3 linked regions of the Oryzias latipes genome follow. The protein of the gene in region 3 interacts with the protein of the main gene of each other region in a pairwise test. Links are inferred from orthologs where the notes say so. Each region holds a gene or a part of one and is shown on either strand. Other genes may lie near its edges.

Region 1 (3,163 bases), on a different chromosome or scaffold from region 3:
AGCTTAACAAAAACCATTTGATATCAAATTGATTCTAAAAACATTCTATCACATTTCATATTATGTCACTAATTATGCAAAAGTAAAAATAACATCCATTTGGTTTAAATGTAAATTGTTAAATAAATTGAAATCAAGTCAATCTGATTGGTAGTTCTACTCTGATCCATTTCTTTCTGCTGGAGCCTTAAATTGTGATAGAAAAGGTGAAAAATCATTCATTGATTGAGTAATAGCGGTTTATTTATAGAAGTCTATAGGTTTTTGGCTTCTGGGAGCCAGGATTTACCTCCTGTTTGGGACGCCAGGGGGGAGGAGTCACTCCGTCCAGTTTTCATATGCAGTCAGCTTAAAGTGAGCTTTGCACACAAGCATTTACTACAACTCGACTCTCTGGATGAGGACGACTACAGGACAAGTCTGTGGTGCAATTCCCTCAAAGTGAGTTTACAAAAAAAAGTCTAAAAACAACTTTAGATAAAGTTAAAAAAAAGTCTGTTCCTGCTGTTACTGAGACAATTTCCAGAAGACCCCATCTGCGAAGTTCTTGGTCGATAAAAAAAGAAACTAAAGCTGAGCAAAATCTCCTTTTTCATTTAACCACTATAAGTTAATCAGAAGAATAACAAGTGAAGCACCAACCTTGAGTGTTGAGATAATAGTGTTTCCAGAGCGGCCTCAGCTTATGCTTTCCACCAACGTCCCAGATGGTAAATTTTAAGTTCTTGTACTCGACGGTCTCCACGTTGAAGCCTCAAAAAAGAACCAGAACCAAGTTTCATTCAACTCAATCTTTCAAAGATCGTATGGTTAACCAGTGCAGACGTCTTTACCGATGGTTGGGATGGGCTGCATGAACTCGTCTTGCTTCAGCTTGAATAGAATGGTTGTTTTTCCAGCCCCATCGAGCCCCAGAGTCACCACCCGGATCTCCATCTTTGGTCCGATGTGAACTCGGTTGTCCTGAAGACACGTTTCAGTTTAGCTTTGGGTTTGTCACCGCGAGGCAAAGGTTTCCAAACGCAGACGAAGACCTTGGTGAAGGTGACGGGGATGCCGGCGTCCAGCTGGATGTGGTCTGCCAGCTCCGTGAACTGGTGCTGCTGCTTCTGAAGCGTCTCCAGTAAACAGCTGATCTCCTGCTTTGCCAGAACAACCCTGCAGTCGTCCTGCATCGGGAGAGAAGCCGCACGCAAACACAACACGGTGCTTTCAATGCCTTGGAACGCACCACTCTACTCCTACTGATTCAGAGAAGTTATCATGAACAAAAAAACTGATCCAAATTCTAAAACACACGAACATTTTCAAAATAAGATCAAGGCTCTGTCCAAATTCCCACCATAACCCCTAACTACTAAAAAACTCTATAGTGCTGCACTATGTCGAGCCCTGAATTTTAACAGCAATTCGGACGCCACGCTCACTACTTTTGTTTTAAACGGCGAATATGATGTCATCAATTTCACGAAGTGCTGTGAGCGTTTTGCGACGATTATTTATGAGTCCACTGTCTCCTGAAAATAAAAACATTGATGGTCTATTAAAAAAATACATTTTAACGCATTTATTTTGGTATAAAATGTTCCGACGCAATGCATTGTGGTCTATATTAAATGATATAGTGAGCATCGATGCACACAGGTTTTTTTGCAGAGACTTCAGGGAAATTTCCAGGGCACTGGATTTTGGAATTGTAGATTCGGACAGAACTAGAAAATGCTGAAGGCACTATTTAGTACGGTGGCCCAGAAGGGTCACAACACAACACATTAACTTTACACACAACACATTAACTCACAACACAACACATTAACTTTACACACAACACATTAAATCACAACACAACAAATTAACTTTACACACAACACATTAACTTTACACACAACACATTAACTTTACAACACAACACATTAACTCACAACACAACACATTAATCACAACACAACACAATAACTCACAACACAACACATTAACTCACAACACAACACATTAACTCACAACACAACACAATAACTCACAACACAACACAATAAATTACAACACAACACATTAACTTTACACACAACACATTAACTTTACAACACAACACATTAACTCACAACACAACACATTAATCACAACACAACACAATAACTCACAACACAACACATTAACTCACAACACAACACAATAACTCACAACACAACACATTAACTCACAATACAACACAATAACTCACAACACAACACAATAACTCACAACACATTAACTCACAACACAACACATTAACTCACAACGGAAGTAAAGCTGCAATGGAAGTGCTTTTATTCTGAAATTTCAACTGGGCTGAGCGGCTAACTGCCTCACAGAAAGTAACGTCACAGTGAGCTGTGGAGGGAGCATGATTTTCTACAAGAGAAGCTAGCAGCAGCGTTGCCAGATTGGGCGGTTTTGGGTGTAAATTTGCGGTCAAAAATGCATAATTTGTATGGTTTAAAGGTCGGTTCAGCGGGTTTTTTCCCACTCATGAATATATAATAGCGGCCTACGTTAGGCCGTGTGGCTTTTGGAGTTCTACTGAAGCTCCGTGAACGGCAGAGCTTAATGGACCGGGTTTTGTCATCTAACCTGTTGTTGGGGGAGTGCAACGCCCCGCCTCTTAGAAATTGTGTTCATTAAAGCCTGACAGTGGGGATTTCTCCACATGTGTCGTGTCAAGTGTTGGGGACCGCGTGCGTGTGTGAGAGGAAGAGGGAGGGGAAGAAAGGAGAGGAGCGCGTGCAGGGACTGGGAGGGTGTGTGGGTGGGTGGGGGGTGTTGGGGACCGAGTGAGTGTGAGAGGAGGGGGCTGAAGAACGGAGAGGAGCGGAGCACGCGCAGCGACAGAGAGGGGTGTGAGTGCAGCGCGGAGGAGTGTGCGTTAACATTGTGTAGCTTCTCTTGTAGAAGAAACATGCTCCCTCCACAGCTCACTGTGACGTTACTTTCTGTTAGGCAGTTAGCCAATCAGCCCAGTGGAAATTTCAGAATAAAAGCACTTCCATTGCTGCTTTACTTCCGTTGTGAGTTAATGTGTTGTGTTGTGAGTTAATCTGTTGTGAGTTATTGTGTTGTGTTGTGAGTTAATGTGTTGTGTTGTGAGTTATTGTGTTGTGTTGTGAGTTAATGTGTTGTGAGTTAA
Region 2 (4,257 bases), on a different chromosome or scaffold from region 3:
GAATTTTGACTAAGAAAATAAATCTTTCACGAAATATTAAAAAAGGGAAGGCTTTTTTCTATCTTTTAAAAACTGTTGAAATAAATTTGCTAAGAACAATCTGTTATAAAACAGCTAACTCATCTTCCCCTTCCAGTCTGATTGCAATGACGGCAAATCACTCTATAGGGATGCACTTAAAGAATTTCTCCTGAGGCCCACAAACTACATTTGTAAAGCAATGAAAGAAAACAATGGAATCATTGCACAATGACAATTAGTTTGGCTCATCCGGAGAAAGGATCCATCCTTCTATCATTCGGTCAGTGTCGTCTGCAGTGACGCGAATGAGTGAGATTGGGCTTGTCCAATTCCTAGTTTCCATGGCAATCCATTCATTTAGACATCAGTAGCTCCAGCTGCCACGTGTACATCTAATGCTAGCTAGTGAGAAATTATATTGTACTTAGATTGCTCCAGTGAGGGGGGGGCACGAGAAGGATGGAGACAGAAATGTTCCCACAAGGACTCAAGGGCAGCTGCAGTGTAAATGAAAACTGTCACTGCACGTGTCCCACTGACCTTCTCTTCGGCTCTAAGTGACCTTTTTACCTGTTTTAAGCTCCGTGATGTGACATCACTCTGACTCGGACAGATAATTTTGGATCTGGATGGATCAGTATGACTGCACAGAGGTCATACCACTCTGGGTAAATGATTGGAAGAGGCGCTCTGTGCTGGCATAGATCGATGGAGTTTTCAAAAACGGCTGTTACATATGCAGGAAAGACACACTGATATTCAGCTGTACTATACCAACGCTTTCAATTTTTCTCTGTTCAGTCAGAGGGGCGTAAAGATGGCACACGTGACGTCACTAAATTGGCACAGATGGAATTGCCTTCACAGGGCCTGTCCAAAAATGCACACGCAATGATCCGATTTGACCGCAGGCGACAACTGTGAGGCTTTCGCTATGAAATGAAGCAGATTCATATTGATCTGATAATAATTTTTGTAGAGCGCACGAACAGAGGAGCACTTAAAATTTAATGATTGCAGCGATCACTGCTGGAACTGCAGCTATGCTCGGCGTACATCAAACATTTTGGCGTTCAATTGTCATTATTGAAGGGTTACAACAAGGTCATTAAGAGTGGCCCATCCGTTATTTGAATGACGAAGGAAATATTTGCTGGTGTCAAGAAAAAATTTTTTTTTTTTAACAATTGGATTGATTTTTCTGGTTTCACGCTGCTGGTCGAAGCTGATTTGTGAAGGCCATTTCTTTAATTGATAACCACGAAGAGCAGCGTTGCATTTTTCATGAGGAACACGAAGGTGACAGCCTCTCATTTGTCATTTGTGGATGCAGTGGCAAGGGATTCCCTTCGAATAAAAGGGCACCCCTCACCGCCACCCCATCCCACCTCTTCTTCAAAAGAATCAAGAAAGGCAAAGGAATCCCTCCTCACCACCTGCAACCAGAAACCCTTCATGGCAAACGATCCAAATAGGCTCTGATGTTCTACAGGGGCATTAAGACACAATGTTCCTCCCGTGCCGGGCTCTTTATCTGGGCATGGACTGGCAAGTCTGGATGCTGCTGGTTTCACTGTGAGCTGGTGTGACACAGCAGTTCTTAATGCCCACCGGTGCATCCGGTGTCAAAATTTCTTAAGGGCCCCAAAGGAGAGAGGGAGGGGGAAAGAGGAAGAAAAAGCAGACAAAGACTTAGTCCTGAGCAGCCAATAAGAGCTGAGAGAGCTAATGTGTGGCAAGCCAGCCATGTCATCCTCTTCCCATCATATATTGCACTGCTCAATCAGGGTCGTCCCCCTGAAATAACTTTAAATCGCCCCTGGATTTCAGCCCTGACACACTCAGGACGGACACGAGCACAGACGAGAGTCTAAAACGTCTGGGATAGAAATAAGTCTCTGCAATATGACAGCAGATATTCTAGTGCTGCCTCCTATTTGATGAAATGAAGGATTAGAGAGGCTTTTTCCTGAGGTGATCATGCTCAGATAATGCCCTTAAGCCTTGTATCAACATGAGCAGTTGTGGGTAATTATTATCGTTATAATTTAAGTGATAAGTATAAGAGAATGGGGGATGGGGGTGGAGGCAGCTCACATGATGTAGCAGAGGCTCCAACTGTATGAATTCAACATAATGGAGGGAGAGGAGGTGGGGTACTACAAGAGGGGGGGGGGGGGGCAGTTAATGGAAGTGAGCAAGGCCATTATATGATGAGCGGCAGATGATGCATAGTGGGGCTTGCATGCATTTCATTCTAATACCCTTTCAATAAAATGTACAACCGACAGAGGCACCGCCCAAACACCGGAAAGTCTGGACCCGACTGCTGAGTAAAAAATGAAAAATAATTTTCCAAAAAAAAGAGGACGTGAGGTGTCAACATTGCCTCAACTGTGGAGCAAATTATGATTAAATTCGAATTTTTTGGATCAGTGCGCCGGTAAAATTGAGCCAGCGTGCGCGCAGATTTACAGCCGTGGCGCGTTTTTACGCAGACGCAGCAGACTCACCATCACTCACACGATTTTCATCCTCTCTGGAAAGTGACTTACCGACTTCATAGCAGCTGCCATGTCATCATACCGCTCAGCCTGTTCAGCCAGCCTGGCTTTCTGCACCAGCTGCTCGCGATCAACCATTTTCTTCTATGATATTTGGTTGCCTAGTCAAGCTTATTCGGGTGGCTTATGTGGGTAAAATAATCGATATTTGAAATCGCAATGCAGTGAAACTTAACACGAGCCTTCTGCTGCAGCTGCTCTCTGCTGTCTGACTGAGCTGCGCGCAGACGGGACACCCTCTCCTCACCCCCACCCTCTCACATTCCTCCTCCTCCTGCTTCTCCTCCATGGGCTGCGTCATCACTCGGGAAGGTGGGTGTCTGTGCCAATGATGTAACGCTCCGTACATGGGGGATAGTGGGCCAGGCTTGTGGGCATGGCCGTGTAAAACGGCTGTGATTTCCAGGGCTTCAGCTTTCCGAAAGCCCCCTTTGTTTCCAAACCATTGACTGTATAGGAAGTGTGATGTTACTTAGAGCAAATTACTTGCTTCCGGTTCCAAAGAAATCCAATCAGTTTTTTTGCTATACAGTAATCCCCCCGTATTCGCGGGGGTTACGTTCCTCACCCCCTGCGAATAACAAAAATCCGCGAATGATTGACGCTGTTTTAAAACTCCCAGAGCCAGAGCCTCTGCAGAGTCAGAACCTTTTTCTGCCGTTTGGGTTCATTTCCAGAAGCTGGAGATGATGCAGGGTGTTTGGATGGCATCTTAAACGCGTAAACAATACTTTACAGTAAAGTACAGAGTAAATCGTTTTTCAAAATTTGCGGACTGAGCGCTGTTCTGTGCCTCATGCTTCTGACGTCACGTCATCTGTGGCCACCCGCGAATGGGCGGGGCGCGAATATTAAACCGCGAATGGGCGGGGGATTACTGTACAGCCGTAGAAGTGTTGGAACAATGCCAGTAATGCTACATTCACAAATACAACTGCCACCGCGCCATGGGGAGGCTTTGCCAGAATCTCACGCCACTTTCCGATTATTTAAATATTGTTGGCAATTTCTTTTGGGTTTTGTTTTTCATTTGAGTTCTGAATTTGAACTAAATCAGAATAACTTTTTTCTCATGGTGATTTTATATTTTGCTGAAACATCCTGATCTTGAGGAAGAAACTGCTTTTTTACCCCCACTATAGTTTTGAAGCTGAACACAGCTATGGGTTAACTTGAACAAAAGTCAAAGTCTTGAAACTAGATGTTAATTCTGTTACATAGACAAGGTTTAATTAAAAGGCGACCTTTGCCTTTTTTGCTCATAGTATCATGTGTTTGTCAGCATTCAAGCTTTAAAGTCCCACTCCAGTCATTTTTAATCTATTTAAAAAAAAATTTCCAGTGTTTTTTTAATTATCATTATACTGTTTTGGGGCAAAATAATTAAAAAAAAAAATTCTGTGTCCGTTTCTAGGACATAGTTTCTGCAGAGTGGCAGTGGTTCATTAGAAGTTTGCTCGGTGTTGGGTGTGGTTACACTTCTCCCACTAACTTACAACCCCAAGCTAACGCTAGCGGTGCAACAAAAATGGCGAGCAATATTGGAGCTATTCAGCCGTACCGTCTCTTGCCAGATTCCATCTCAGACGAGAAAAAAAGTAAAAGTCAATGGATGTATTCGTCTGCAAGTAGATGCATTGCAATAGCGCAGAGCAGGGAGCTTGTGTCCTGC
Region 3 (4,259 bases):
AGGCCAGGAAATTCCATGCTGCTTACTGGCACAGGAATTCAAAGGAGTTTGTCATCAATTCAGGGGTCTTTTTGGAGAGGAACTAAGTATTGATGAGTTACAGGAAGTTGCTTAGTTAATACTGAACTTCACTGTTTGCATATACTGCGATGCATGACACATCCTGCAAGTTCCTCATGCATCCAAAAACAATTGAAGCTACACTTTGAGATGGAATACATCAAGAAACCCCTGACATGAAACAGAACTATTTCCCTTGGAAACTTCACATTGTGAAGAAAAATTAACCAATTCATTTTCCATTTCCTCCTTTTGTTGTGTGCATTAACTGTGATTATACCAGTAAATATATGTCTTTTTAAACCTTACATCACATCAGACTGTCACAACAGACATCTTCAGGTTATATGTGAGGCAGAAAGCAATGCCTCCCAGCAGAAAATTTGTATTCAGTCACATTTGAGTGACCGCAGTCTGACAAGGGGGGTGAAACATGTGACAGAGACTGGATGGAAACATGGGGCGTGGAGGCATTTTAAAAAGATTCATTGACCTTCACACCCCTCACAGAGACACCCCCACTTGCACACACCCACAGAAAAAGCAGGGGATAAACCCCTCAACTTTTAAAAAATGGAAACACTCATTGCTGACCGTAAACAATAGTGCAGCGTGATGAATTTCCAAGTACAATGCGTCAAGGCCCCAAAGTAAATGTTTGTCTGCCTCGGGATGTTCCCACATTACAGCTCCTACGTAACAGAAAACATGACCCAAAGGAGCCGGTGTGAAAGTGGAACCCATGCACCTCGGTTGATGTCATTTACAGTAACCCCTCTTGTGAGTAATGACATCTCAGAATGTGCATATCAGATCCTCCTATCTCATGAACACAAACCTTCTCTGACATAGAAAATGAAACAAAAGTTAACGCCTCTGTGGGGGGATGACATCTGTTGTTTCTAAAATTGACACAAAAAAGTTTTGAACTAACAAAGGACCACAGGGTTTGTGTTTTCAAAAATCCAACCAACTTTGTGGATCTTTGCCTAAACATACTGCCCAAAATTTCTTCTCGGAAGTAGCATTTCTTACCGTTGGTGCGTAAAGGTACCATCTTCTTCAACTCCCGACACCAGTTGAGCTTCTTCTCCTGCTCTAACGAGGCCTGCATGGCTCGGTCCAAGATGGCGGCTTGAACTACCTCCCTGAAGGCCTGAGGAAAGTGGTTCATGGCGATCATCTCTAGCGTGTAGCGGTGCATTCCGCGCAGGTGATGCATGAGGCCGCTGGTGGAAGGCTTCACCACATCATTGGGCACTCGCTGGCGGATCTTCACCGCCTTCAGCAGGTTAGAGACAAACAGGAATTTGGGGAGGAAGTTCTGGCCCTGCGACATGACGGATGGCCAGGAGAATGGGTGGAGGGGAGGAAAAGGAGTGAGGAGAGGAGGAGGAAGCACCAGCCGACGATGACCCAGCAACTTGCAGGCTAGAGACACAGAGAGGTAAAACAAAATAAGTGATCTTACAACCCTAAACAACATCACAGGCTCCAAACCTAGATTTCACCTAGTATTTAATTTTCCTCAGGAAACCACCAATCACAGTAAAGGGTTCCTTTGTGGATCAAGTTAGGTGATTCTCCAAAAGGGTCGAACTTACGTACAAAGAAACCTTTATCTCCTGGTGTGTTCTAATACTGTGTTTTTCACTTTGACTGGTTTTTCATTGATCTCAAAGCTTTCCAACAAAAGACTGGTGTTTTCCAGAGTTACACTGCAGGCCACCCAATATCGCTAGGGCTTCTGGGAAGGTCACGAGACAGGCTTTCCCCTCCTGTCAACACCTTACCAGCTGTTAGCTTGCGTCAAACGTGTATTTAAAAGATTGCCAGGACTCAATATTTGTTAAAACGTTTTTTTCTGTACTTTATACATTCAAATAAAGTTTATTAGAGATTGTTGTAAAAAATTAGAGCTCAAAAGTCACGTGAAGGTGGTACAGAGGGTCTAGTTGAGCAGTTTGGGCTAAAATGAGAACTTTCCCAGCCTATTCATGAAGTTCTGAGCTGATAGTGAAACCAGTAAGTTGACAAATGAATGTCAGGCTTCAACAGCAGCAGGTGCAACAGCAGGGAAGGCCGTGCAGGAGCGCCGGTGACCGCGGTGCCGTGCTGCTGTGTCTGGGCTGGACGTCAGGGAGCCCGTGGACCCGCGGGTCGTCTCGGCATGAGCGGTGCGGGAGAGCGGCGCCCGCACGGTCGCGGCAGACTTCGCTGACGTTCGAGGCTTACGTAATTACAACGACAACTCCAATGGAAACAATGTGCCGTTCCAGACCGACAAGAAGCCGCTGCCAGCGGCACCGACGGCGCATTCGGTGGCGCGGAAGCGTCGCCCAGCCGCTTCACGGTGACGTCTTTGTAAACAATGGCTGTCAACGCCGCTGTCGTGAGCAGGCTTCACGCTTCCTCCATGTCCCCACAACCACGACCGTACATTTCCTCGAGGCCCGAGCGGGGATTCAGCCGCTTAATCTCCCGGAATTGTGCAGAAATGCCTACATGTGGAGGCAGAAGGAGGAGTTGGGGCTGGCGTCTTACCTGTGCAATATGTCGGGGTAACAACAAAGCCTCCCGGATGCTCAAGCAAGTCCTCTCTCAGCCACTTTACTCAGCCTCACCGCAGCAGTCTTCGGCGCCATTCACCCTTCTGTTTCCTCCAACAGCCTATCAGATCTATTTCGGAACCTTTGATGCTCGCGAAGCCTTTCGAAAGACTACAGGCGTCCACTAACACTAGTTTTTAAAAAAGGAAAAAAAAGAAAAAGAAGAAGTTAGGGGGATTTCCACACAGGGACTTTCCGTCCACCCATTTCCCTCTCTGTAAAAAAAAACGTGCACTTGCGGCACTTTGCCGCTAGGAGGGGCTCCACTGTCTGACTCAGTACCGTGAAACATATCCCACCTACTGAGCACAAAGAAGCGTCACTGAGGTAGACAGACAGGTCGCGTCATCCTCGATTTCATGAAATAAATCATTACCCCTCAGTCAGACCTCTCCAAGTTAAAAAGCCAGGAAACGGAACAAAAAACACATTCTGAGAAGCAGATGTCCCCTTTCTCACGAGTTGAGCATAAAATAGTCTTTCAGTGATGACGTGAGACTGTTTCAACTGTTTGGAAATTATGTTTTTCTATTCTTTTGCCGCTTTAGAAGCAAAAACGTTACTCCTGCTGTCATGCAGTAGTAACTTAAAAATATATTCAGTTTTCTCCTTTTAAAAAAAAGTTTTATGCACAATTTAAATCATATTCATTTTATTTTGTGCACATAAGAGACCAAACACAAGATCCTAATAAATACAAAGCTGCAAGAATGTAACCAGTTAGTGCAATAAACAAAACATCTAATCATGAGTGTGTCCTACGCACCACCTCAATATTTTTGTTTTTTGAGGTATTTTGCTCCAACAACTCTTAGCACCACGGTCTGCACAAGAATGTGTTTTTTTCCCACTTAATTGGCTGGTTGTATAACTTTATTTTATTTTATTTTTCCTTCACCTCAATTTTTTGCACATTTTTCCTTTTTTTAACCTATATGTTTCTTATTTGACCTTAAATTTGGATTTATACACAAATTTAGAAAAAGATGCCAGCAAAATATGCTTACTTGCAGCTTAAAAAAAACATGCTGCAACCTCAGAGTCTACACATCCCTGAACCAAATGTCACACCTGTCGTTTGTGGAGATTGTCAAGCTCTCAATGGCTAGGGCATCAGCTGCGTGGTGGAGCACACCAACCGTCTCAATGTGGTCAACCCAAGTAGGAGCGGTTAAACTTTGCTCCAGCTCTCAAGCAGAGTTTGCTGATGTTGCACATGATTCACCCTGTATTTATTGTGCAAGAAGATTCTCTGCTATTGTCTGCAGGGTTTGTGAAATATCAAACAGCCCCACAAGAAAATTAATTTTTTTATTCATTCTTGCTGATGTCTTAAAGCAGAAAACCCAACTTTAAATCAAATCCAGTACAAGATAGTATTTATATGACACATCATGTAAAAAAATGCAAACAAAATAAAGTCTTTACAAAACAATGTATTTTAAGTTGTTAATTATTCAACAACTAGATTAGAGACATGGGTAAACTACCATACAAAAGAAGAAAATTAACACAAATTGAAAAAAATACAACATCTTGGATTTTACTTACCTGTGGGAACAGGTGTAAAAGTTATGATCTCCACTGTGG

The links.
Region 1: the proteins of tnfaip3 (region 3) and trim23 interact in binary tests that used the Homo sapiens proteins (3 or more experiments, as listed by UniProt). The two-hybrid records come from large-scale screens. The link is inferred for Oryzias latipes from reciprocal best matches to the Homo sapiens genes TNFAIP3 and TRIM23.
Region 2: the proteins of tnfaip3 (region 3) and ywhag interact in binary tests that used the Homo sapiens proteins (3 or more experiments, as listed by UniProt). The link is inferred for Oryzias latipes from reciprocal best matches to the Homo sapiens genes TNFAIP3 and YWHAG.

What each region holds. Positions count from the first base shown.
Region 1 is NC_019870.2:3,055,315-3,058,477, forward strand, and holds part of trim23 (E3 ubiquitin-protein ligase TRIM23), read right to left. Parts: intron 1,170-3,163; coding exon 1,035-1,169; intron 964-1,034; coding exon 834-963; intron 754-833; coding exon 643-753; intron 1-642.
Region 2 is NC_019871.2:9,989,382-9,993,638, forward strand, and holds the start of ywhag (14-3-3 protein gamma), read right to left. Parts: upstream 2,821-4,257; 5' UTR 2,664-2,820; coding exon 2,577-2,663; intron 1-2,576. UniProt on the Homo sapiens protein: Adapter protein implicated in the regulation of a large spectrum of both general and specialized signaling pathways. Binds to a large number of partners, usually by recognition of a phosphoserine or phosphothreonine motif.
Region 3 is NC_019873.2:16,684,872-16,689,130, reverse strand, and holds the start of tnfaip3 (tumor necrosis factor alpha-induced protein 3), read right to left. Parts: upstream 2,945-4,259; 5' UTR 2,605-2,944; intron 1,492-2,604; 5' UTR 1,400-1,491; coding exon 1,096-1,399; intron 1-1,095. UniProt on the Homo sapiens protein: Ubiquitin-editing enzyme that contains both ubiquitin ligase and deubiquitinase activities.